Linked DNA regions of Mus musculus. The protein of the gene in region 3 interacts with the protein of the main gene of each other region in a pairwise test. Links are inferred from orthologs where the notes say so. Each region holds a gene or a part of one and is shown on either strand. Other genes may lie near its edges.

Region 1 (7,895 bases), on a different chromosome or scaffold from region 3:
ATCTTGTTATGTTCACCTGGCTTTGTTTCAGAAGGAGACTAACTTGTTCTGCTTATTCAAATTATTCAAAAGCTACTAAAGCTACTTAGATGTCTACTCCCGCCTGAACTGAATTCGAGATAATATCCCTTGGTCCTGGCAAAAAGATATAGAATGAAAGCTTAGGTGAGCTCCTTATTACAAGTCTTCACGGTCCCAGCAGTGACGGCGCACGCCTTTAATCCTAGTACTTAGGAGGCAGAGGCAGGCGGATCTCACAGTCAGACACCAGCCTGTGTTACAGAATATTTGTGAACCCCAGGACTGTGCTATTTACTAGAAAAACTCGTTTTTAGTTGTGTGGCTCAGCCTTAACATACACCTTTAATCCAAGAGCTTTTTGCTTGAGTACTGTAAACATGACTAAACAGAGTCAACCATAGGTCAAAAGATAGAGCAGGCAACCAGCTGACAGGAAGTGAGCATACGATTATTAGGAAAAACCATAGAGGGTAAGAACAAGTCAGGAGGGTAGATAGAGAGACATACAGGAAGTAGAAGGGAGGGGCATTCAATCTGAAGGTTTCTTGAGATGGCCTGAGAGAGGCATGCCTTCTAGGACATCAGCTGAGGGGGAAGGTCAGCTGGGTGCTCTCTCTGTCTCTCTGAGCTAGTAGGCTCTCACCTCAGCATCTGGCTCCCAAGTCTTCATAGGGAAAATCAAACTATTGAGATTTTGTTAAATCAATAAGCCTGGTCTAGAGAATGGATTCCAGGACAGCTGGGGCTACACAGAGAAACCCTGTCTCAAGAAAAAGACAAAAACAAAACAAAACAAAACAATGACCACAATTTAAAAAAAAAGACAAAGAACTCCTCATGGAATCCAGGGTCTACAGTTAAGATCCTGGGCCTTACAGACAGAATGATGGGGAGCAAACAGACTCTGCCTCCATATGTGAGAACCTGAGTAATGTATCTCTCTGGGCCCCAGTGTTATCCTCCTAAAACTGGCCTATTTGCCAGCGTGGTGGCACATGCCTTTAATCTGAGAACTTTGGAGATAGAGGCAGGTGGATCACAAGTGTGTTCAAGGCCACCTTGATTTATATAAGAGTTCCAGAATAGCTGGGGTTATTAGGGCTGCAAAGAGAGCCTGTCTCAAAAACAAAACTGGCTCATCCTATTAATGCTTATTCAGTTCATACTTACTGGCTGCTACTCCCATCTTGTTTGTCGTACTTTATTTCTAAATTCTGTATGAATTTTTAAGCGGTCCTTCTCCACTACCCCTGTGGTGGGACAATGTCTGCTTTTCCTAGGTGCATCTTTAGTGCCTAGCCTAGTGAGTGACACTTAACTTTGTAGAAATGAATGAACAGAAAGATTAATAAGGCATGACAGAAGAATTTTGTTAGCAAAACATGCACTTGTACCTAGGAAGGAGGAGGCACACTGGTAGATATAGTGATGAGGAAGGCAGAGGAAGCAGCTGGAGAGAAAGGAGCCTCCATGCTTCCTCAGGGGTTTCACAAATGGCGGGAAATGGGCTGACATTTTTCTCTGGTCAGAAAACCACTCTTATCTTTTTTTTTTTCTCCTCAAGACAGGGTTTCTCTGTGTAGCCCTGGCTGTCCCGGAACTCACTTTGTAGACCAAGCTGGCCTCGAACTCAGAGATCCACCTGCCTCTGCCTCCCAAGTGCCAAGATTAAAGGCGTGCACCACCACTGCTCGGCTATGATTATCTTGTTATGTTCACCTGGCTTTGTTTCAGAAGGAGACTAACTTGTTCTGCTTATGTTCTGCTTCTGTAACCCCGCCCATTTTGCTTGCTAAATCCCCCATTTGAAGACGCACCCCCCCCCCACCCAACCACTGAGCTGTAAGAGACTTGACTTCCTCACATCCAATGCCGATCTCTCAAACCCAGCCGTAGGGGGAGGCAGCCTGCATACACTAATGAAAACGCTTGCGTTAATTTATTTGGCCGTGATGATTTGTGATTTGTCTTTTGTTTTTGTTTTTTATTTTGGTTCTTCGAGACAGGGTTTCTCTGTATAGCCCTGGCTGTCCCTGAACTCACTCTGTACACCAGGCTGGCCTCGAACTTAGAAATCCACCTGCCCTGCCTCCCAAGTGCTGGGACTAAAGGCGTGCGCCACCACTGCCCGGCCTACTCCTATCTTTGTAGTTCACAAGACAGAGCTGTTTGAGGATACTGTCCGAAATGAGCTCTGACAAAAAACAAATAATTTTTCTCTTAATTTATTCATTCATTTTAGAAGGCTGAGTTTGTACAAGTATTTCCCGGATGTGTGAAAATTATGTGAAATTGACATTTCAGTTTGCCCAGAAATCAAACTCATCACGGCTCTTTTGGAACTGTAACAGAAATGCAGTTCCAGAACTCAAGACTGTTTGTTACCTGGCCTGCTAAGGACAGTGGTTTGCCTACCACTGGCCTGGCTGGATGGCAGGCAGTTTCCAGTGGGGCTGAGCAGTAGGGTCTCCCCAAAAGATGGATGTGTTCTCCCAAAACACTCCCCCTGGATACAGAGATGCTGAGAAGACATGATGCGTCCTGCTCTTACAGTCCTCTCCCTCCGCTGTTAAGCTGCAGGACAACTCTTACTGTCCTACTGAGCGACTGCATCCCTGCCTATTGGCAGGTAGGCTAGCATAGGTTAGGTCATGTCAGTGCGGAACAGCCTCCCCCAACCCCTGAAAAACCTTCAATTATCAGCTCACTTTGTACTATAGATTTGAGATCTCGGCCTCGCCCCTCTTCCTTCAGGCCTCCATCATTCTATTTCTGGTATATCTCTTCTAAAGCTCTCCCATTCAAACGTGAAGGTGAGATGCACTGTCCTAATAGCGCTCATCTGAAGGGTAATTCATGCCTACTTCTTTCCTATGGGCCCACCATTCTTTTATAAGTTATGACAGATGGCAATTTCCTACCGGTGGTTATTTTAGACCTTATTAAGAAGGGGACATCTGAATGAGTCCCTACAATAAGCTTTCAAGATAAGCACTCGTTGGTCACGGGGAAAACGCTAGCAGCTCTTACCGAAGTAGTCAAGCCACTTCATCCCTTGCAGCGCCTTGGGGAGCCGAAGGATCTCGATGTTGTACAGATTTTCCACCTCCTTGAGGAGGGTCTGTCTGTCGGACTCAATTTGCTTGGTTCGAACTTGCACTGCAAAGAGGTGAAAGCGGACGGATCCCGCGTCAGGTGTGCGAAGCCGTCGCATCCGCGTCCCAACCCACCCAAAACCCACGATCACGCGAATCCACCCCTTACCCTCGCGGTCGAAGTCCTTCAGGAAGGAGGCGAGCTTCCGGCTCCGCAGCGTGTTGGTCCTGGTTCCGCGGCTGCTGCGTTTCTTGGGAGCCATGGCGCCTGGCTGCGTCGAGCGAGGGGCCAAGCAGCCGGCTCCGCGACTGAGACGGGGAGAGGGTGTGAGCGGTCGGAGAGCTGAGAAAGTTCAGTCGTTGGAGTCTAGGTTTCCAGAACTCTGCCGAAACCTACCTGCAGGTCCCAAAACACAGTCTGAGGAACCCTCACAGCTCCAACTAAGGGACGGGCGGCTCCTCGGTTAACCGCCACCCAATTCAAACTCAACGGGCACAGCCTAGCCAATAGCAAATCGCCGTCTTAGGACGGTTCTCACCACGCCCAATCACAATAAAGCTTCTTCTCCTTCCGCCAGCCAATCCTCATGGAGGACTTCAATGCCCAGATGTCATTGCGGCACACGCCATCTTTTCGCGACTCCAGAGTCGTGCTAACTGGAAGTAGAGTGGTGAGTTCGTTCTTGTGAATAAGCGCGGTGTAGTTTTTGATGTACTCAGCGTTGACATCGCAGGATTTACGTTTTCCTGTTGATTTAGGGCTGGAAATCTTAAAGAGAGGCGACAAGACTGACTCCAGAAGCACAGGTCCCGGAACAGACAGACCCCAGAGACTCGCAGTCTAAAGCAGATTGCCCTGTCGTGAAGAAACCCCTTCGGAAGACCCGAAGCAACGGTCTTCCTGCAGAGAGAAGGTAAGAGGACCGCCAGAATCAATATTCTTGAGTGTCCGCGGTTACAAGACAGAGACACAGCTCCACTCTGCAGCGTGGGGAGTTGCCCTAGCCTTTTAAGGACTTGAGCTCAGTTGATGGCCCTGACGCTGAAAAGAACTCAGCACTAGCTGAGCTCAGTTGATGGCCCTGACGCTGAAAAGAACTCAGCACTAGCTGATTTATGAAGCAGAGTTACATGAACATATTTGCTACGGGGCCTCACCATATAACGCTGGCTATCTTGGAAGTCTCTGTGTATACTAGTTTGGCCTCGAACTCACAGAGATCTGCTTGTTTCTGTCTTTCCAGTGCTAGGATTAAAGATGCATTCGACAACTCCCAGCCTATGGCTGTTTTAAATACAGGCATAAGCACAAGAATTAAGAGAGAGAGGCAGGCACCTAGGCATAAAAGACACTTGCATGCTCCTCAGAGAATCTCAGAAAGTTAGACATAGCCACGTGGGTATGAGATTCTCTAGGGAGATCAGCAGTTGATTTTCTTTCTTTTCCCCCAGTTTCTTGAGACCAGGCTGGCCTCAAACCCAAAACCCGGCTCTGCTTCCAGAGGGCTGGAATTAAAGTCATGTTACATTAGCCACAATTACTTATTTTGGTGGCTTTCAGTTTACATCTCAAAAGGGTTTCTAAAAACCCTTGTGACTCCCTTCAAACAAGAAGTTGTTTGATAAGAGAAGTAAGTGAGGTGGCTTTCAAGATTCTTTGATGGTATTAAATCCTACAGATGTAAATGGGGTAGTGTGTGTCCTTTCTCTGTAAATGGGATTCCTGGTGAGATTTCTAGAACATGGAAGATTTACAGCAGGAAGGAAGAAAGGCTGTTCACAGTTGGTAAGTGTACTTGCAGGAATTCTTCCTTCATTGTTGGCTGAAGGTGTCAGCCCACTTCCAGGACTAGGAGTTCTTGTTTGTGTCCCCCAAAGTCTCCCTACCTTTCATTATTGCCTTGGGACTATTTGAAGACCAACAGCTGGTCTTCTCCTGAGGTCGGAAATGACGCAGCCTTGATGCAGGCCCTCCCTTCTGGTACCCTGACTCCCTTTTGTTTTGTTTATTTTTTCCCAGAAAATGGCTCATGACCAGCCTCTGCTGGTTGTGCAGGAGGCCCTGAGGAAGTGCTTCCCTGTGGTGGAGGAACAGCAGAACCTGTGGCAGAGCACCCTGCAGGACTGCTCGCCCCTCCTGTCCTCTCTCAGTAACCTGGCTGAGCAGCTGCAAGCCGCACAGAGTCTGCGCTTTGAGGATGTGCCAGCCCTGCGTCCCTTTCCAGACTTACAGGAGCGGTTGAGGCGCAAGCAGCTGGAGGCTGGTGACGTTGTTCTGGACAAGCTAGCTGAGCGGCTGTAAGAGGCTCTGTTGTCCCCCTTTGTTGATGGACAGATCTTAATGCCGCATGGCATCCCAGCCTCAGTCAGGGGGTCCTACAGAAATCGACAAAAGCAAGTCAGGAGTAATCATGCTGGAGCTAAGTTGAATGTCTGTGAGTTCGAGGCCAGCCTGGACTACATTGTAAGACCATGCATGTCTTTAAAACAAAACAAAACAACCCAAATCAGGCCAGGTGTTTAATCTCAGCACTAAGGAGGCATATACAAGCAGATCTCTGAGTTCAAGGCCAGTCTGGTCTACATAGAGAGTTCCAAGGCAACCAGGGCTACACAGATAAACCCAGTCTCAAAATAAATAAGTAAGTAAACAAACAAATAAATAAAAATAACCCCAAACCAACTAAATAAATGGAAGAAATTACAAAAGCAGAAAAGAAGAGGGTGGCGAGGAGTGCAGCCCTCTTCTGTCGTTGTCCTTGGTGTACTGCAGTTCAGGGAGAGCTGGGAGTAAGGACTGTGTGTCCGGGACCTTGTACACCTCTGCCTTATACCTGTCTATGCACTTGGAAGCAAGAAAAGGGAAACTCAAACTGATTGTCCTGATCACAGAGTCCGTGAGAAATAGAGCCAGGAATCTGAAGTGGGCCTGCCACTTAAGCTGGGGCTTCTTACCACCACCTGGTTCTACACACAAGTGGATACATGTGTAACTAAGTAGCCCAAGAAACAGTAACAACACAGGTGTTACACAGATACTCTGTTTTCTGCTTTTTTTTTTTTTTTTTTTTTTTTTTTTGGTTTTTTTGGAGACAGGGTTTCTCTGTATAGTCCTGGCTGTCCTGGAACTCACTTTGTAGACCAGGCTGGCCTCGAACTCAGAAATCCGCCTGCCTCTGCCTCCTGAGTGCTGGGATTAAAGGTGTGCGCCACCACACCCGGCTTCTGCTTGTTCTTGATGTTAGTCATCGACTATAAGCAGGTCTTACACACTTGAGGATTTTGGATTGTTTCCTGTTTTTACACCATAAGCCACAGTAGGATATTTAGAGCTAGCGTTCTGGGCTAGAGGATCCCTTGTCCATTGGGAAGTTGCAGCCTTTGTTTTAGTGATGGGTTCCTTAGAGTCAGCATTCGAATACTATGTAGCCACTGCCAAAGGCACTTTACACACATCATAGTATTTATCTTTCCAGTGACAATTCATTCACTGATTGTGTGTTTGCTGTTCTTGGGAAACACAGTGAGCAATGAAGCCTTTATGCACAGGGGAAATAACTCACATTCTCAAGCAGTCTGTGCATGTCGAGCCCACATTGCCATTGAAGAACTGGCCAGACAAGGGCAGTTAAGATGGCTCCTGGGGTAGAGGCACTTGCCGTGTAAGCCTGATGACCTGGGTTCAATCCACGGGCCCATGGAAAGGTGGAAGGACAGAGTGGATGCCACAAAGTAGCCCTCTGATCTCCAAGCATACTCTGTCATGTGCATGCCCTTCCCTCATACTAAATTAACAAGGGTATAGCTCAGTGGTAGACCGCTTCCCTAACACGTCTAAGGGTTTGAGTCCCCTCTGAAACAAAACTTAACAGGACAGTAGTGGTTTGAGAAGGCTTACCCCCTATCTTTTTTTAGGATACTGCCTAACACCCTCCTTTTCCCACAGAGCCACCCTCCTCAAGGTCCGTAACACCATCAACAGCCACGTGGAGCAGGTGTTTCAGGCCTACGAGCAGCATGCGGCTGTGCTAGACATTGACACCGTCCTGCGCCCCTCAGTTGTGAGCCCCTCTGTGGCTGACATGTTGGAGTGGCTGCAGGACATCGACAGACATTATGGAAGCTCATATCCTTCGAGTGCTTCCTGACTGACTGCCCAGAGCCGCCCCTAGAGGCTGCAGCAGGTGCAGACTTCACAGGGTCAGCAGGCTGTATAATTCACAGGGTCAGCAGGCTGTATAATTCACAGGGTCAGCAGGCTGTATAATTCACGGGGTCAGCAGGCTGTATAATTCACGGGGTCAGCAGGCTGTATAATTCACGGGGTCAGCAGGCTGTATAATTCACGGGGTCAGCAGGCTGTATAATTCACGGGGTCAGCAGGCTGTATAATTCACGGGGTCAGCAGGCTGTATAATTCACGGGGTCAGCAGGCTGTATAATTCACGGGGTCAGCAGGCTGTATAATTCACGGGGTCAGCAGGCTGTATAATTCACGGGGTCAGCAGGCTGTATAATTCACGGGGTCAGCAGGCTGTATAATTCGTTGCAGTTCTCTAGTGCTCAGACTTGGATTCTTCTTGCACTTGTCTTTTGTTAACTAGTCATTCCTTAGAGTTTATTTATCTGCTAGGCACTACTCTTAAGTGCTGGGAGCAGGCATAAAAAGGGGGACTGCATAGTGTCAGATGTGGTGAGTGTTAAATAAGGCAGAGAAGGTGAGGGGGAATGTGATTTTAATAGTGTGGTCAGTGCAGGGACCCATGAGGCAGTGACATC
Region 2 (7,895 bases), on a different chromosome or scaffold from region 3:
CCAGTACCCCCCAGAGCTGTGTCTCTAGTTGCATATGTAGCAGAGGATGGCCTAGTTGGCCATCAATGGGTGGAGAGGCCCTTGGTCTTGCAAAGATCATATGCCCCAGTACAGGGGAATGCCAGGGCCAGGAAGCGGGAGTGGGTGGGTTGAGGAGCAGGGCAGGGGGGGAGGTTATAGGGGGCTTTGGGGATAGCATTTGAAATTTAAATGAAGAAAATATCTAATAAAAAAAAAGAAGAAAAAACAAAACAAAAAAACCCCGAGTGATAAGGAGAATTAAAGCCACAATATTGTGGATAAATAAGAGTGTATTTAAAGAAAATTTGGAAAATAGGGATTGACCAGGTGGCCTTCTCAGCTGTAATTTAAAGTGTCACTTTAGATATCTCCTTATAAAAACAAAATAATTGCTGGGCACTACAGTGCACGCCTTTTATCTCAACATTTAGGAGGCAGAGGCAGATGGATCTCTGAGTATAAAGTCAGCTTAGTCTACACTGAGTTCCAGGATAGCTAGAGCTCTGTAAAGGGATTCTGTCTCCAAAAAAAAAAAAAAAAAAAAAAAAAACCAGCAATAACAAAATATTAAAGAGTGACTACGACTATGCAATTGCATTAATATTAAATTTCCCTTAAGCTGGAGTACAGAAACAAAAACTACTGTCATGTGACCTTGGTTGATCAAACACTGACCAAAGTCATTTGGTGAAGGAAAGGGTTTATCTCCTAACTTACGGTCCATCACGCAGTGAAGTCAGGACAAACTCAGGGCAGAAACTGAAGAGGAGATCACAGAGAAATACCGCCTTGCTCTCCAGGAGTCTCTCAGCTTGCTTTTTTTTTTTTAATATAACCCAGGGTCAACCCGTGTGGTTGGGCCCTCCCATATCAACCATTAGTCAAGAAATGCTTCTTGATTAATGCAGACTTGCCTACAGGCCAATCTGACAAAGGCATTTTCTCAATTGAGGCTCCTCTCCCAGGTGATTCTAGGTGTGTCGCGCTCACTACAAACTAACCAGCACAATTATGTTCCCCAAAGCGCGTTGTTGGGACCCACTGCCACAACTTTAATCATTACAGTATAAGTGCCCTCCACTGCTTGGCACTGGGTTAAATCAGCAACATGCACTGAGAGGAACTGAGAGTGCATGAAAGCCATGCACTGACACAAGCAGAACTGCCTGCCCACCTGAGCCTTGTCATATGGCAGGAAACAAGGCAGAGCTGACAACTATACAGGTAAGCGAAGGGATGCTAAACACACTCTGTTGCTGGGAAGGAGGGCGGGGAATTAAGGTTAACACAGGAGTAGTAATGGGACATCCACTGGGACACTCTATCACAAGCTGGAGGAACAACTATCAATAAAATCAGCGATGTAGATTTGAGGGGCCTATGGAATCGAGGCAGTACCCTGAAAATAAGCCCCTGGCTTTAAAAAGAAGCAGTGAGGTAATTTGGGATCGCTGGGAGAGGTAATACCCATCTCAGAGAGGCTGTTTTAAGTTTTGCCTCTCTCTCCTTTGACTCCCATTTTATTCTGCACTGTGGTAAAGCCCCACCGGCACTTCAGAGTATTAAAATTTGGAGGCACTGTCTCTTATTCATTTAGGCTAGTTAGAAGTTGAGAAGCAACGAAGCCTAACAGCTCACATCCTAGCCCTGCCTACTTGTATTTAAGGTGGAAAGACACCTAAGGAAGCAAATTTCATAATGTCACCACGCACGGGGCCTTTGTTTGTTCAGTCACAGTATGTATCTTATACTTCCTTTACTTCAATGTCCTCATCTGAAACGGTGACAAAAGCATCCACCCTACCGAGCAACTGTGAGGGTTAATATAAAATAATTTTAGAAGAGGTAAACGGTGCTATTGCTATCATCAGCAACACCATCCTTCAGTTCCAGGAAGAATGAGAGCCCCAGAACCCTTTCTAGAAAAGTATGTGTGCTCAGCGGTTTGCATCTGGGAAATAAAATAACGGGACTCAGATGCCTAAGAAATACGTTTTGCAGGTACTATTATGAATTTCCCCAGACAGTCTTAACTATGTGTCTTGCTTCAAAGTTTGTATTCGCAGAGAATTTACTTATGCCTAAATGAATAGACATCTACCAACCTGGGTACCTGTTGGAAAGCAAGGTTTTTTGTTCGTTTGTTTTTGTTTTTGTTTTTCTAGATTAGCTGGAAGCATCTATACATAGAGCTGACGAGGGACCAGAGCCCCGAGATGTGGGCTACCAAACCACTGGATAGTTATCAAGAAACCTCAACCCTGAACGATGCTAATGACTGTGATGCTAATGGCTCCACAATGTAATTAGACTCAGATTATTCCAATACAAGCTTCCACTCGGCTTTAATTTTCCTCCTTAATTGGAAACCCAACGCTTAAACACTATTAGTTTTGTGACCCAAACCCTTTTTCACTTCACTTGCCAAATTTGACGGGCGCGTTCACCTCCACCGACGCCTGGGGGTCGATGTCGTCCGACAGAATGGCCATCTCCTGCCGATCAGCATCATACTTGACCTGCAGGCTGTCCAGGCCGCGCGCCACGTGCTCCACGCCGCACACCGCCACCTGCACGCGGTCGCCATCCGGGTGCGCAAGGGGATCCAGGGGCCTCACGGCCAGGTGGCAAGGGAGCCGCGCCCTCAGTCGCCCAAACGGGCTCACCTGCAGCGTCCACTCCCTCAGAGCCCCACGCGCCAGGCCGGCCCCAGAGTCATCGGGCGCTGATCCCTGCCGCTGCGCCCCACTGGAGCCGCAAGTCCGAGCCCCGAGAGCTCCGACCAAGGCGCCCGCCCGCACTCGGGACGCGCAAGGAGGGAGGCGGCCGAACATGCTCTCCCTTGGAACGCTTCAGCCTTGGCTCGCTGGTCCCGGGACCACAAGAACCACGAGCTGCCTCGGGTCAGTCACGAAGGGGACAGCATGCACGGCTCCGCCAAGGAAGAACGAGCCAGGCCCCCAGCACAGTACTTAACGCCTTAAATCCCGGTAGGAAAGTTAAAACTTCAAAGAGCCTAGTTGAAACCCTGACCTGGACAAGTCACCTATTTCCGCCCCTTTGGCGGAGGCCATCGGGATATGTAGTTTTAAAGGAGCCAAACATCAAGGTGTTCTGGTAACTGTGAAACTACATATCCCAGGAGACAGTGCGCTGAATACACAGACTGACAGCCGATTGGTAGAGGAGCCCCCGCTCCCCCCTCGTTGCTTTCCCGTTGCTTCAAGCCCATTGGCCAAGAGAGCAGAGAAAGAAAAAAAGTTAATGTAACTGACCAATAGGAAGAGTAGAAGGGACGGGATAAACTCAGCTGTGGTTACTTTGGATACCAAGGACGCGACTCTTAGGAGAGGGTGAAGTTTTGAAGTGAGACCCCAGGGACCAAAACACACGGAGAAAAATAAGAGTTTAAACAAGGATCAGGACCAAAAGAAAGGGTAAGAAACAGCATGTTTATAGATGGGAATCAGATTCAAAGTTAGGAATACTTTCTTTAGGTAGTTAGAACCAAAGGTCACCAAACTAATGTGGATTCCCTGGGAATAGAGAATCCCCCTCACAAGAGACCTTAGCATGAGAGGACAGACACGTTCTGTTGCTTTCTCCCTTCTCTGTCCTTTAAGGGAACTCCCACTTAGGTAAAAAATACTAGATAGAAAAAGTGTTAGAAGCCAGGTATGGTGGCGCACGCCTTTAGTCCCAGCACTCAGGAGACAGAGGCAGGTGGATTTCTGAGTTCGAGGCCAGCCTGGTCTACAGAGTGAGTTCCAGGACAGCCTGGGCTATACAGAGAAACCCTGTCTCGAAAAAGAAAAAAGAAAAAAAAGGAAAAGAAAAAGTGTTAGAATTCTGGCTCTTTCTTAACTGTAAGTAGTAATCTTAGGCCAGTCATTGGATGCCTTTGGGTTTTACTATTTGCTTATAAAATGATGACACTATCTTCCTTGTCTTGTGTAGAAGTTTTTTTTTTCGTTTTTACCACATTTATCAAATGAAACAATGGACAACAAAGCAGTGCACAGTATACAAAACAAAGTATTTTAGGAATGGCATATGTCTACGTTGCTAAGAGATTTGGAGACATTTGAACTTGGTTAGAGGACAGTCTTGATCTCTTTCCCTGCAACTGGTCCTTGGCCTTAATGGTAAAATAAAATCTCTCTCTCTCTCTCTCTCTCTCTCTCTCTCTCTCTCTCTCTCTCTGGATCATAAGACTTGTTAGGGGATGTCAGAATTTTTTCCTGGTCCTGTTGTATTATCTATGGCACAAGAAATGTTTCTTCAGTTTTGATATAAGACAGACTGTGCTAAATAACTCTATAAGTTAACTCTTTTTTTTATTATTCAGTAGGCAGTAAAGATAATGGGAAATGGGGGGTGTGGACATTATTTCAGCCATATTTGCCTATTCTTCTCCCCATTCTACAAATAATTCCCTAAATTCCTTACATACAGATTTAACTAATTGCAAGTCCAGTGTGATGGTGTTCACTTGTAAGTTTTCAGAGTTTGGGAAGCTGAAGCAGAAAGATCTCAAATCTGAGGCCCACCTGGACTATATACGGAGAACGTTGTGACAAATAAAATACACAATAAGTAAATAAAATGATACCTTTAAAGATCAAAACTCTCAGCCAAATATGGGACCCCAATTCTTTGAACCTGAAGTGACAGATGGATAGATAGACTAGGCTAAAGTCCTCCCCAGCGTCCATGTTGTTCTCTTAGTGAAGACTATGGTAGTGGTGGTGGCAGTGACAGCCCTGCCCTGCTGTCAGCCATCTGAGAAGAAGGCCCCTATCCTTGAGGACCTCCACCAAGGTGAAACCTGTCCTTGACTTTGCTGGAAAAAAAATGTTGGGAGAAGCTAATGTGAAAGAGGGTTGATTTAAAATAGATTTTAAACAAGGGTTTAAGAGCACAGGGGTTGCTAGAGGTGACTGATCACACAGGGAGAGAAAGAGACACACCCAAGAGCACAGGTGTAAGCTCCCTTGAGCTTGCCCTAAGTGACTTAGCAGAAGTGCTCCAGAGTCACTCTTTTGCTGACTCTCATGTTATGCCTCAAAGGATTTCTCTAAGAAACTTCTTTAAAACCTTTCTCTTCTTCTTCTTTTTCAATAAGTGAGATTATAGGATTACTCTAGAGATGTCTTGGATTGGGTTACAGTCCTAAAATAAAACTGTGTGTCACAAGAATTGTAAAAGGGAATTAAAACATGTCCTTTACTAGAAGTAGGGTTTTGGGTAAGATTTCTAGAAAACTGTTGGTTTATAGCTGAGAAAGAAGAAAGAACACATATATTTAGGCCTTACATGTGATCCATTGCTCCTTCAACAATGTAACTTGAAAGTATCACTATGTAAGAGACTGGTGATCCTCATCGATAATGTTGACAGCTGTGTTAGAACTCTTCATCTTCAGCTGGTGAGACACACTGGTCAGGCTCTGGAATGAGGGCTCCTTTTATTCCCAGTTCTCCATCATGTTCCCGTGTTTCTCTCCTGCCTCAGTAGGCTATAAGATAGACTTTATGATAAGCAAGTGCTCACTCAGTGAGTAGCGCCATTGGCTTTGTGTCCCATGTGGACGTACGTACTCAGACGAGCCTTCAAGTTATCTTTTTTAAATGAAAACCCAAGAGTCATACTTTGACATTTGAAAGAGGCACAAGCAAGTTGAAACTGCGCTCTGATTTGCTGTGGACGTGCTGCATATATTTGGGCCGAATATGCATCCTTAATAAATCATCCTGTTCCTATAGTCACTTTTCCTTTTCTGAGGAAAAATAACTTAATAGAACTGACAACTGAGCCATCATGATATCTGTGACACGGTCATTATTTCATTACTTTCAAGCAAAGGAACTAAAACGTACTGAAAGACTACCTTCCTGCTTTTATGAGGGTGGAACCCGAGAATCTGGTAGAGATTAAGAGTGACGTAAGATATTAGTTACCAATGCCTAACAAGCTAGTCAGTATCAAACTTGTCTACCTGTAAAAGTGAGTGATATAGTTTTCAAAGTATGTTCCCGTGTACCATCTCACGGTTTTCTCACAAAAAGCTATTAAGAAGGATAGTTATTCTTCTCCCTGCATGACAGCTGAAGAAACAAGATTCAGAAAAACAAGATGAAGCCATTATGACCCCCAAAACTGTGGTTCTGGGGGGATGAGAGCATTAAATTACAAATGTACAAGATTTTTTTGTTTTGTAGGACTACTTATTAATAAATTATTTCTCTGCTGGTGAGATGAGCCAATTCAACCCAGATTAGATTATATTAAATTCCGGTTTATTGCTCTTGGGTGGGCAAGTTCATTGACCCCAAGGAAGGGGGAGAGAGGGAAAGAAAGAGCACACACACACACACACACCACACACACACACACACACACACACACACACAAACACACACACACACACACACACACACACACACAGAGAGAGAGAGAGAGAGAGAGAGAGAGAGAGAGAGGAAAATGTCTGGATTATATAGGGAAGAGCCCCTGGGGGAAGGGCAGCCCAGCCCCTGGGCTGCAAACTTCAGGGGTGGAGGCAGGATATGCCAGGAAGGGACTGAGGGATGTTGGGAGAACCTGGAGGCCACATCTGCTTTGATATGTTAAAATATGCACCTCACTCCCTTGTCTTGGAGTCTGAAGCCAAACACTTAAAAGAGTTTGAAATAATTTAAAAATCTAAGTGCCCCTAAATGAGAGAGTAATGCTTAAATAAATTTTATATTTGTAATATTATAAAGAAATCTAAAAATAATATCCTGAAATAATCCATAATATAATATTGGGTAATAGAGTACTTAGTAACCTTTGTGTATTAGTTCAATCTCAATTCTGTAACGGCAATAATATATTTAATATAGAATTACATCACAGAAACAATTCCAGAAGGATGCACACCACCTTATAATGATGGCTATCTATCTCTAAGCCACGAGGTTAGATGATTACATCATTTGCATGTTATCAGTAGTGATCATGTTTGGCATTTTTAATGAAGAGAAACAGTAAGGCCTTCTTAGTGTGTACTGTTGCCTAAGGCTGTCTTAGAAATGTAGGGAATTTCTTAGCATCCAAACATAAATGCAGTTGTGTAGAGAATCTCCTACCAAATCAATGTGAAAGGTGGTGACTTTGTTATTACTTTATGTTCAATTCATGGACAGCAGAGGGCAGAAGAGTTTTCAGAAGAAAAGGTAATCAGACCAAGGATTAAGTAGCTCAGTTAAAGGGATGAAGGCCACCAAACTGTGCTCGATTCTGAATTACAGATAATGTTTAAAACAAACAAAAAAACTTCTGCAGTTTCTGTTATTCTTATAAGACAATAATACACTCAGAAACCTAAGAGCTATCACTTCTGAGAATATATAATGAATACGCAGGTGGACCCACTTGGAATCACCTTGTGAAACTGCCAGGCTAACCATACCTGTGAATTGTGAATCAGCTGAGCTCGCTGGCCAATTTAAAACTTCAGGGGAAGCGTTTGGCATCTCACAGTCAACCGTGATGTTGGCTGCACAATTTTCCAATGCCCCTTTGAAGATATTTAACTCCTGGTTTACTTTTTATTTGAGTGATATTATATTTTAAATGATTTTTTCTGTTTGTATTGAGATGACCAGATGGTCGTTTTGAAATGGACTGTGGTGTGGTGATATCTCAGAATAATTTAAATATTGAACCATTTTTCCTTCCCTGGATGAGCTTTAATCATGTTGTGATCTTTTCTGTATAAGTTGGTAGATTCAACTAATGGATCAATGAGAATTTTTGTATTTTATTTTATATGAGCTATTAGCCTGAAATTTTCTTTGACATTTTTTCTTCTTTTAGGTATCAGGGTA
Region 3 (7,795 bases):
CCACAGATCACAGCCTGGAGTTTAAATCTGCAAAGCCTCTGATGGCACTTGGATCAGCTTGGGGGTTTTGTTTGTTTGTTTGTTTTTGTTTTTGTTTTGTTTTTTGTCAACCCCCCAATGGATAGTTTGTCTAATGCACACCCAGCTTGATTTACAGAATCCACGAGACCATACCAAGTTTTCAGGAAACATTGGCAATTCTGTTGGCTATGAAATCTTAGGTAAATCTTCTCAAACCAGTATTTCTCTAGAACATCAGTGTAGAGCTTACACAACACTACTATAGTCTTGCCTGAGCCTCCCACGAGTCCTATGTAGTGCATGGAGTTAGAGGAGGCAGCAAAGACTCAAGGTAATGGCCTAGTGGGAGAGATGAGAGATGGCTTTGGAGCCTGTCTTCTGCATCTGCTGTGTGATTTCCCCCATACCTTTGCACTAGGGTAGTTTAGATGCCCCGATGCTTAGGCTATGGGCAGAGCCCAGTGGAAACACTCTGGCTATTCTTTAGAGCTGAGTTCTCTTTCTCTTTAGAGACCAGCTGATGGTCTAGGACTTATGACGACCTAAGACTGTTCTGTTAGAATTCTGGCACCAACAAATCTGTCTTGTGTTGAGATGGTATATACATTTTTTGGCTTCTATTTCCTTCTCTCCATCCCACTTTTCTGTACCTTTTTATGACTGTCAACAGATCTTTGTGGAAAGGAAAAAATGGAAGGAAAACCCTGTGCATCGTGGGTTGGAGTTACAGTCTCAGGCCCTTGATGTTGGTTCAGATGAGCCCAGCCTTTGTAAAGAATACTGTAGCCCTTCCTTTCCCATCTGTAGGCATGGTTCTCTCTGAGGGACCATCACCCAGTGCTCACTGTCTATTGTGAATCACTTTTCCATGTAGACACTGGCACATGGAAGCTTCCCAGGTGTGTGTGGGGCTAAGAGCTCCTGACATGATGGCTTTGCATGCTATAAGGCAGAAGTTCTGTATGTGTAACCGGAGGAAACTGGATCACAAAGATACCAATCACTGGTACCAATGGACTTAAAGCCTCTCTTGGTCCTTGCCTTGTTTAGGGCTACGGTAGCATCAGGTATGAAAGGAATAGGAAATCTTATCTTTGTTAAGTCCCCACTAAAAAGTATAAATGCTGAAATCCTTAGTCTCCTCTGCTTTAAGCCTAATGAGTGACTAGAATAACGGGAGAAGGAAAGGCCAACCACAATACTTCTCAAAGTTACAGCTTGTTAAAATCTCCTGAGATGACTTTCCTAAATGTCCAGTGCTCAAAATGCATCTTACACCTATCTGTGGTAGCCCAGATGTATGTGTGTGTGTGTGTGTGTGTGTGTGTGTGTGTGTGTGTGTGTGTGATTACCTTAGGCGATTCTAGCAGATGTGAGAACTAGTTCTAATTGAGGATGAAAATCTGTCAGTAGCAGTTGTAGTTGTACCAATCTTTGCCCAGAGTCTGATATGCTTGGAGGAAATGATGAATGGCCTCAATCCTGTTTGCTTAGAGGGAGCTGCCTGTCTACTTTGCCTGTGTTGATAATCATTGGAAGAAATCAGCCTTCCACACTGAACTATGGCCCTGTGCATCCCTCTGCACACACACACAGCCCTTCCCCCCACCCCCCCACCCCCCCACCCCCGCCCCAAACATTCCTTCCCTGTTCTTGGCTTTAAAAAACAGAACTAGTAATCTAAACCCTGCATAGGGGCCCTCCTTTCAGACACTGCCTAGATAGATCAGAAACAGGCTATAAAGGACATCACCTGAACTCCTGCCTCTTCTTACAGTGCTCAACGAGAGGCCTCATTTTCATAGGGTCTTTGAAAGCGTCATCCTAGGGAAGAGGAGGTCCCGCTGCCCTCCTTAGGATGAGCTTGATGGTTCGTTAAGTCAATGGTCTTTATCCTTTCTAATACATATGTGACCCCCAACCATAAAATTATTTTCTTGCTACTCCATAACTGTAATTTTGCTACTGTTATGAATCATAATGCAAATGTCTGATATGCAACCCCTGTGAAAGGGTTATTCATCCCCAAACGGGTTGCAGTCCACAGGTTGAGAGCCATTGCTTTAAGGTTTGATGGCCGTGGAGGGGATCCAGATCACAACTTTTCTTATACAGGAGGTTTTCCAACGTGAACAAAGAGTTCTTCAATCTGGAAAAGTCCTATCCCCTGTCTCCCTGAAGGAGGCACGGAAAAACCAACTGGTTAGCGTTGGGCAAAGGCAAGCACAAGCAAACAGATGCTACCACCTGTGGGTGTGCCCAGTCAGATAGCCCATCACATTCTTAATCCCTAACTATGGGATGTCTCCTACTTCCGGAACTTTCCTGGATTCGATCATGAGGAATAACAGTAGGAACGAGGAATGGAGCCCCTGGGCTTTTCAGACCCTCCTCTGGGTGTCTCCTGCTCAGAAATGCAGAGGGTGAAAGTCAGGCTTGAGGCTTTGAGTCTTCATCTAACCGATATTCTGTGATGAACTGGGGTACTAACCTCCCCCTGCCCCCTCCCCGACCCCGTGTCCACTGCTAGTCTCCATTCTCAGCCATCTCGATTCCCTTACCGCTCTTGGCTACTGATACCCTCTCTCACTGTGTTTCTATCTGCCCAGGTGTTAGCATTGCCCCTCCCGCCTCCACATCCACGCTGCTCAGCAACCAGACTGAAGCTAGCTCTCCCCACTACATCAACCCTGCCCAGCCCCACACTCCGACAAGGAGCACCATAGAGCTGGGACGAATCCTGGAGCCTGGATACCTGGGAAGCAGCGGCCAGTGGGACATGATGAGGCCCCAGAAAGGGAGCGTCTCTGGGGAGCTGTCCTCAGGCTCCTCGATGTACCAGCTTAACTCCAAGCCCACTGGTAAGGCACAGAGCTGGGACCTTCTCTCCTCGGTCAGGAAATACATAGAAAGGATACAACAGTCTCTACCCCTCATACATGCTCTATGCACAAAATCCAGTCACAGCAGATAGAAGAGCATAACTATGGCAAAAAGCACAATGCAGCCCGGTCCCAACAGCAAGAAACTGAATTTCCAAGAGAAAGCCAGAAGTGAGTCAGTTCACTTGTAACCTAGCAGTGCTGCCTCTCCTGGGTCCTTCGGGGTCCTAGAACCATGCAGGGGATTCCTTCTTCCTGCCTGACTAAAAGTGACATGTGAAAGCATCGAGCATCAGTCCTTAGCTACGATTGGTAGGTTGAAGGCATGTGGTTTTTACCTTAGGTCTTTTTTCTAGGTGGGAAAGAATGGATTTTGCTAAAAGCTATTGAGTAGCTTATCAGGAAAAGGAATTGGAAAAAAAAAAAAAAAGGCAGTAAGGCCTTCCTTTTCACCCCCAAAACCACACCCGAGAGGTGGATCCGCCTTTCCAGATGGCAGTTGGGCTCAGTTAGATCTGTCGGTTATTTTCTCAGTGATTTGAAGCCCCCGTTCGCCAAGAATGGAGGCCCGTGGGCTTTCCTTAGCAAGAGGCCACCCTATGGTCATGAAGCTCCTGTGTCACTAAGTGGAGCTGATTGACTGTGTGAAAGGACACTGTGGGCAAAAGGAAGGCGACATTGGGGGACAGGCTGGGTTGTCCACTGGCAGAGCTCACCTCACCCTAGTAACCAGCCTTGTGTCTCCTGCTTCTGCCCTGTCCGGGGATGATGGCTGCAGGCGCTGACCTGTTGGAAGAGCATTTAGGTGAGATCCGGAACCTGCGCCAGCGCCTGGAGGAGTCCATATGTGTCAATGACCGGCTGCGGGAGCAGCTGCAGCACAGGCTCAGCTCCACTGCCCGAGAAAACGGTAGGCAAGGCCACTAGGCAGAGCCTCACGCTTTTCTAATCAGTCCGATACTCTTTACTGGATTGTCACAGTCAGGCGAGGGTTGGAGGGTATGGAGAGCCGTTATTTCTGCTGTGCACTCTGAGCTCAGAGACTGACTTTCCTCAGACAAAGATCTGGCCTCTCGTCCTTAACCTGTTTATATGCACTGTGTCCTTGTGATTGATAACCAGTAGAGGCAGGTCTATGAAGACCCACCCCCGACCCACTTCACTCAGGAGGCCATTAGTCCCTACCTCCCCCATCCCACAAGATGTTGTCATTTGGATGTCACTCTTTGTATATGCAACTGCTCATTCCTCCCCAGCTAGTTAGGAGACGCGTCCTACACTGATATAATGGGTACAAGTGCTGGGTGCACACAAAGACGGCATGGTCTGAAAACACACACACACTGCTCAGCATCCAGCCATTATGCTCAAGTTAATCCCAGGCCTTGAGGGCTGGAGCTTGCTGCTGGGTTGGGACAGCAGATCTTTGAGGGGATGTAACATGGGACGTGTGTGTTGTCCGGGACAGGTTCCACCTCTCACTTCTACAGTCAGGGCCTGGAGTCCATGCCTCAGCTCTACAATGAGAACAGAGCCCTAAGGGAAGAAAACCAAAGCCTGCAGACACGGCTCAGCCATGCTTCCAGAGGTAGGTTGTGTAAACCCAGACTTACAGTCCTCCTAGGACTATCTCTATCCTCGCCAGGGCAATCACCAGTTGGAAAAAGCAAAGAGAAGGTTTAGTTACCAGCCCAATATTTACATTGCTAATCTGTCTTCAAAGGGCTACTCCCAAGGCAGTGGTTCTCAACCTGTGGTTCAAGACCCTTTGAGGAGGGTCAAGTGACCCTTTCATAGGGGTTGCCTAAGACTTTTAGAAAACACAGACGTTTTATGATTCATGACAGAAGCAAGATTACAGTTATGAAGTAAAAACAAAAATAACTCTATGTCTGGGGATCACCACAGCATGAGGAACTGTATTAAAGGGTTTCAGCATTAAGAAGGTTGAGAACCACTGCCATAAGAGATCCTAACCCTCGCCCTCAGGCTCCTAGGTTCTAAGACAGAATGGCTCTAGGAAGGTTATCCCTTTTGAAAGCCTGCCTATATTCAATAACAGTGCCTGACCGGTCAGTTTGGAATCCATCCCCTTCTGTCTGCTCACACCTGATTGGAACCATAAAACCAGAGAGCATGCTTGTGTGTATTTTCTCATACAGCCTCAAATAAGTACAGCTCTGGACAGCTGTCTGGGTCCTGTTCTGCCATTCCTCTGCCTTTCCCTACAGTCCTCTTCAGGCTGCTCTCCGGCGGTCCTCCTATGGTTCCATGTTCTCTAGAACTTTCCCAACCCTACTTAATGGTCATCTATAAGTGGGCATTATTGCCTATGTGGCCTGAGAGGCAAATTACATAGTATTAGTTGACTTGATTAAATCAATGTATAACTAGTAACAAATGATTTTTATTTACAAAAAAAATCTACTTAATGGCCATTAAAAGACTAAGAGCGATATATCAAAGGATTAAGTCCAGAATGAAAGAATCCTTGTGGAGGCAAAAGACGAGAAGAACTATTTCTAAGGAAACTCCTTAGTACTTTTGTACTAAGTCAGTTCAGAAAGACATGAGAGGCAGGGCCCTTGCTGGAGGATGACTAAGACTGCTGGATGAGGGCAAGGCAGAGAAATTAATCTACCAGTGCATGCTGGGACAGAGGAGGGCAGCCTCACAGATAGGAAATAGTAAGAGTTCCAAATGAACACAGTTATACCCAAGGACTGGCCTTATATAAAGAGTCCCTACAGATCATCTTTAAGAAGTTTTGACCAGAGAGGTATCACATGGCCAGAAAACACCAGCTGTCCACATTTTCAAAAGAATTGAAAAAGAATATGTTCTAAAAACCACAAACAAGAAATCAGTGCTGGTCTTTGATAAGACTGGAGGTGTACAGTTGAATAGCTGCCCACGAACACCTAGAAAACGCTGAGCTTCGGGAACTCGCTGTCTCCTCTAAGAGCTAGGGCAGGTGTTCTTAAATGGAGGGTCAGATACCACAAACACCACTGCCACCCAAGCCCCAGTACGTAGGGTCCACTAAGCCAGACTGCTCGGCCACACGGGACCTTCCTTCCCCTGGCCTCACGTGTGCTTGGGTTTGTCTTTCTCATGGGCTTCAGGCCATGACATAAATACCCCTGTGTCCCGCTCATCAGGACACTCCCAGGAAGTGGATCACCTGCGGGAGGCTCTGCTCTCCTCCAGATCCCAGCTTCAGGAGCTGGAGAAGGAGCTGGAGCAGCAGAAGGCTGAGCGGCAGCAGCTCCTGGAAGACTTGCAGGAGAAGCAGGATGAGATCGTGCAGTTCCGAGAGGAGAGGCTGTCGCTCCAGGAAAACAACTCCAGGTAGGCAGGGCCTTGATATGGAATGGCCCGGCTTCTCAGTGCAGAAGGGATATTGACAAATCAGTAGTTTCCTCCTTTGGGAACTTCAGTTCCTTCTTTACTCTTCTGCCTCACTGGTCACTTGGAGCAAAAGGAAGACTCTATTTGAGACACACACACAAAAAGAGAGAATAGTGTTTTTATAGTATGAAGTAGAGTGATAAAATCCTATTACAGAGGTTTCCATCTGTCAGAGACTGGCAGGAGAGCAGTCCCACCCTTCTCACTAGATGCATGACATCACTCTTGCCATAAACTGCAAGTTGTTATCCCAGTGGAAGCCCTGCATCTTTCTGTCAATGTGGAGAGCACTGTGGGGCAGAGAGGGGCTTGTAGTGTGCTTACACTGCTGCCTGCACACAGAGCTAGTGTTCCAACTTCAGGCTAACTAACTTTACCTGCCCCAGAGTCTGCCAAATGAATGTGATGGCCAGGCCATCCTACCAGGCCAACTGAGGCAAAGGTTGGCTCGAGGCTCATTTCTCCCACTTGGCTCAGTAAACCCTTGCCTCTCCTTGGCAGGCTGCAGCACAAGCTGGCCCTCCTGCAACAACAGTGCGAAGAGAAACAGCAGCTCTCCCTGTCCCTGCAGTCAGAGCTCCAGATCTACGAGTCCCTCTGTGAAAATCCCAAGAAGGCCTTGAAAGGTATGAGCCCCCATTCTCACCAAAGCCCAAGGGTTGACATGAGCAGATCAAGCCTGGGTACCCTTAAGGACAGACTGAAAGATCACTTCACCCACTTAATAAAAAAAAGCAACTTAATCAGGAGCAAGATTATAGCATGGTTTATATAAAGAAATACCCTAGGGCTGTCACCATCTGAAAGGATCCTTACCTGTGCTGAAGGACAGACCATGACAGCCCATACCATCAGCATCTATCCCGCCTCCCTTCCCCAAGTGGAGAAACCGACTCAAAACCAAAAGAAAGGAGAGGTAAGAAGTCAGGGCAGTGGGAAGGGAGGCTGCTGCCACATAGAAAGCCTAAAATTCAAGACCAGAGTTTACTTTCCAGGAAGACGGCTCCAGAGTTTTAAGATGCTGAGTCTATGGAACATACTAGAGTCAGGACTTAGGAGACCTCCAGTCTGGGAAGAATTTTGGATAAATGTAGCAGTGTTTTTAGATCAAGAGACAAGGTCCTACTGTGGAGATAAAGGACAGCAATAGCCATGCTAATTCAGAAGGGGGATAGCAAATAAGGCCCCAGCCCTGGGCAGAGGACCACAGGCCCTAGGGAAGAGTGCATCACCTGGTTATCCACCATCAAATGCTCAGCCCAGAAAACACAGGAGTGACATTATAGGGACTGAGCAGGTGTGTGTGTGTGTGTGTGTGTGTGTGTGTGTGTGAAACAATTAGGCCATGAGCTGGAAGGGGGTGGTTATATGGTTGAAAGGGAAGGGTGAAATGATATAATTTCAAAAAAATTTAAAATTGTGATAAGAGATATGGTACAACTGGAAGATAAGGGCAATGAATGCTGGGAATATTTTTTTCA

The links.
Region 1: the proteins of Pde4dip (region 3) and 9930104L06Rik interact in binary tests that used the Homo sapiens proteins (3 or more experiments, as listed by UniProt). The two-hybrid records come from large-scale screens. The link is inferred for Mus musculus from reciprocal best matches to the Homo sapiens genes PDE4DIP and AIRIM.
Region 2: the proteins of Pde4dip (region 3) and Ccdc146 interact in binary tests that used the Homo sapiens proteins (3 or more experiments, as listed by UniProt). The two-hybrid records come from large-scale screens. The link is inferred for Mus musculus from reciprocal best matches to the Homo sapiens genes PDE4DIP and CCDC146.

The regions. Positions count from the first base shown.
Region 1 is NC_000070.6:124,933,304-124,941,198, forward strand, and holds the start of 9930104L06Rik (uncharacterized protein C1orf109 homolog), read left to right. Parts: upstream 1-3,744; 5' UTR 3,745-4,030; intron 4,031-5,136; 5' UTR 5,137-5,139; coding exon 5,140-5,414; intron 5,415-7,062; coding exon 7,063-7,242; intron 7,243-7,895. Other genes in the region: Cdca8 (borealin), read right to left, coding at 3,052-3,180, 3,286-3,379. UniProt on the Homo sapiens protein: Part of the 55LCC heterohexameric ATPase complex which is chromatin-associated and promotes replisome proteostasis to maintain replication fork progression and genome stability.
Region 2 is NC_000071.6:21,420,128-21,428,022, reverse strand, and holds the start of Ccdc146 (coiled-coil domain-containing protein 146), read left to right. Parts: upstream 1-3,345; 5' UTR 3,346-3,458; intron 3,459-7,895. Other genes in the region: protein FAM185A, read right to left, coding at 2,447-2,855. UniProt on the Homo sapiens protein: Essential for sperm flagellum biogenesis and male fertility.
Region 3 is NC_000069.6:97,698,254-97,706,048, reverse strand, and holds part of Pde4dip (myomegalin), read left to right. Parts: intron 1-2,630; coding exon 2,631-2,882; intron 2,883-3,681; coding exon 3,682-3,813; intron 3,814-4,371; coding exon 4,372-4,491; intron 4,492-6,064; coding exon 6,065-6,254; intron 6,255-6,815; coding exon 6,816-6,940; intron 6,941-7,795. UniProt on the Homo sapiens protein: Functions as an anchor sequestering components of the cAMP-dependent pathway to Golgi and/or centrosomes.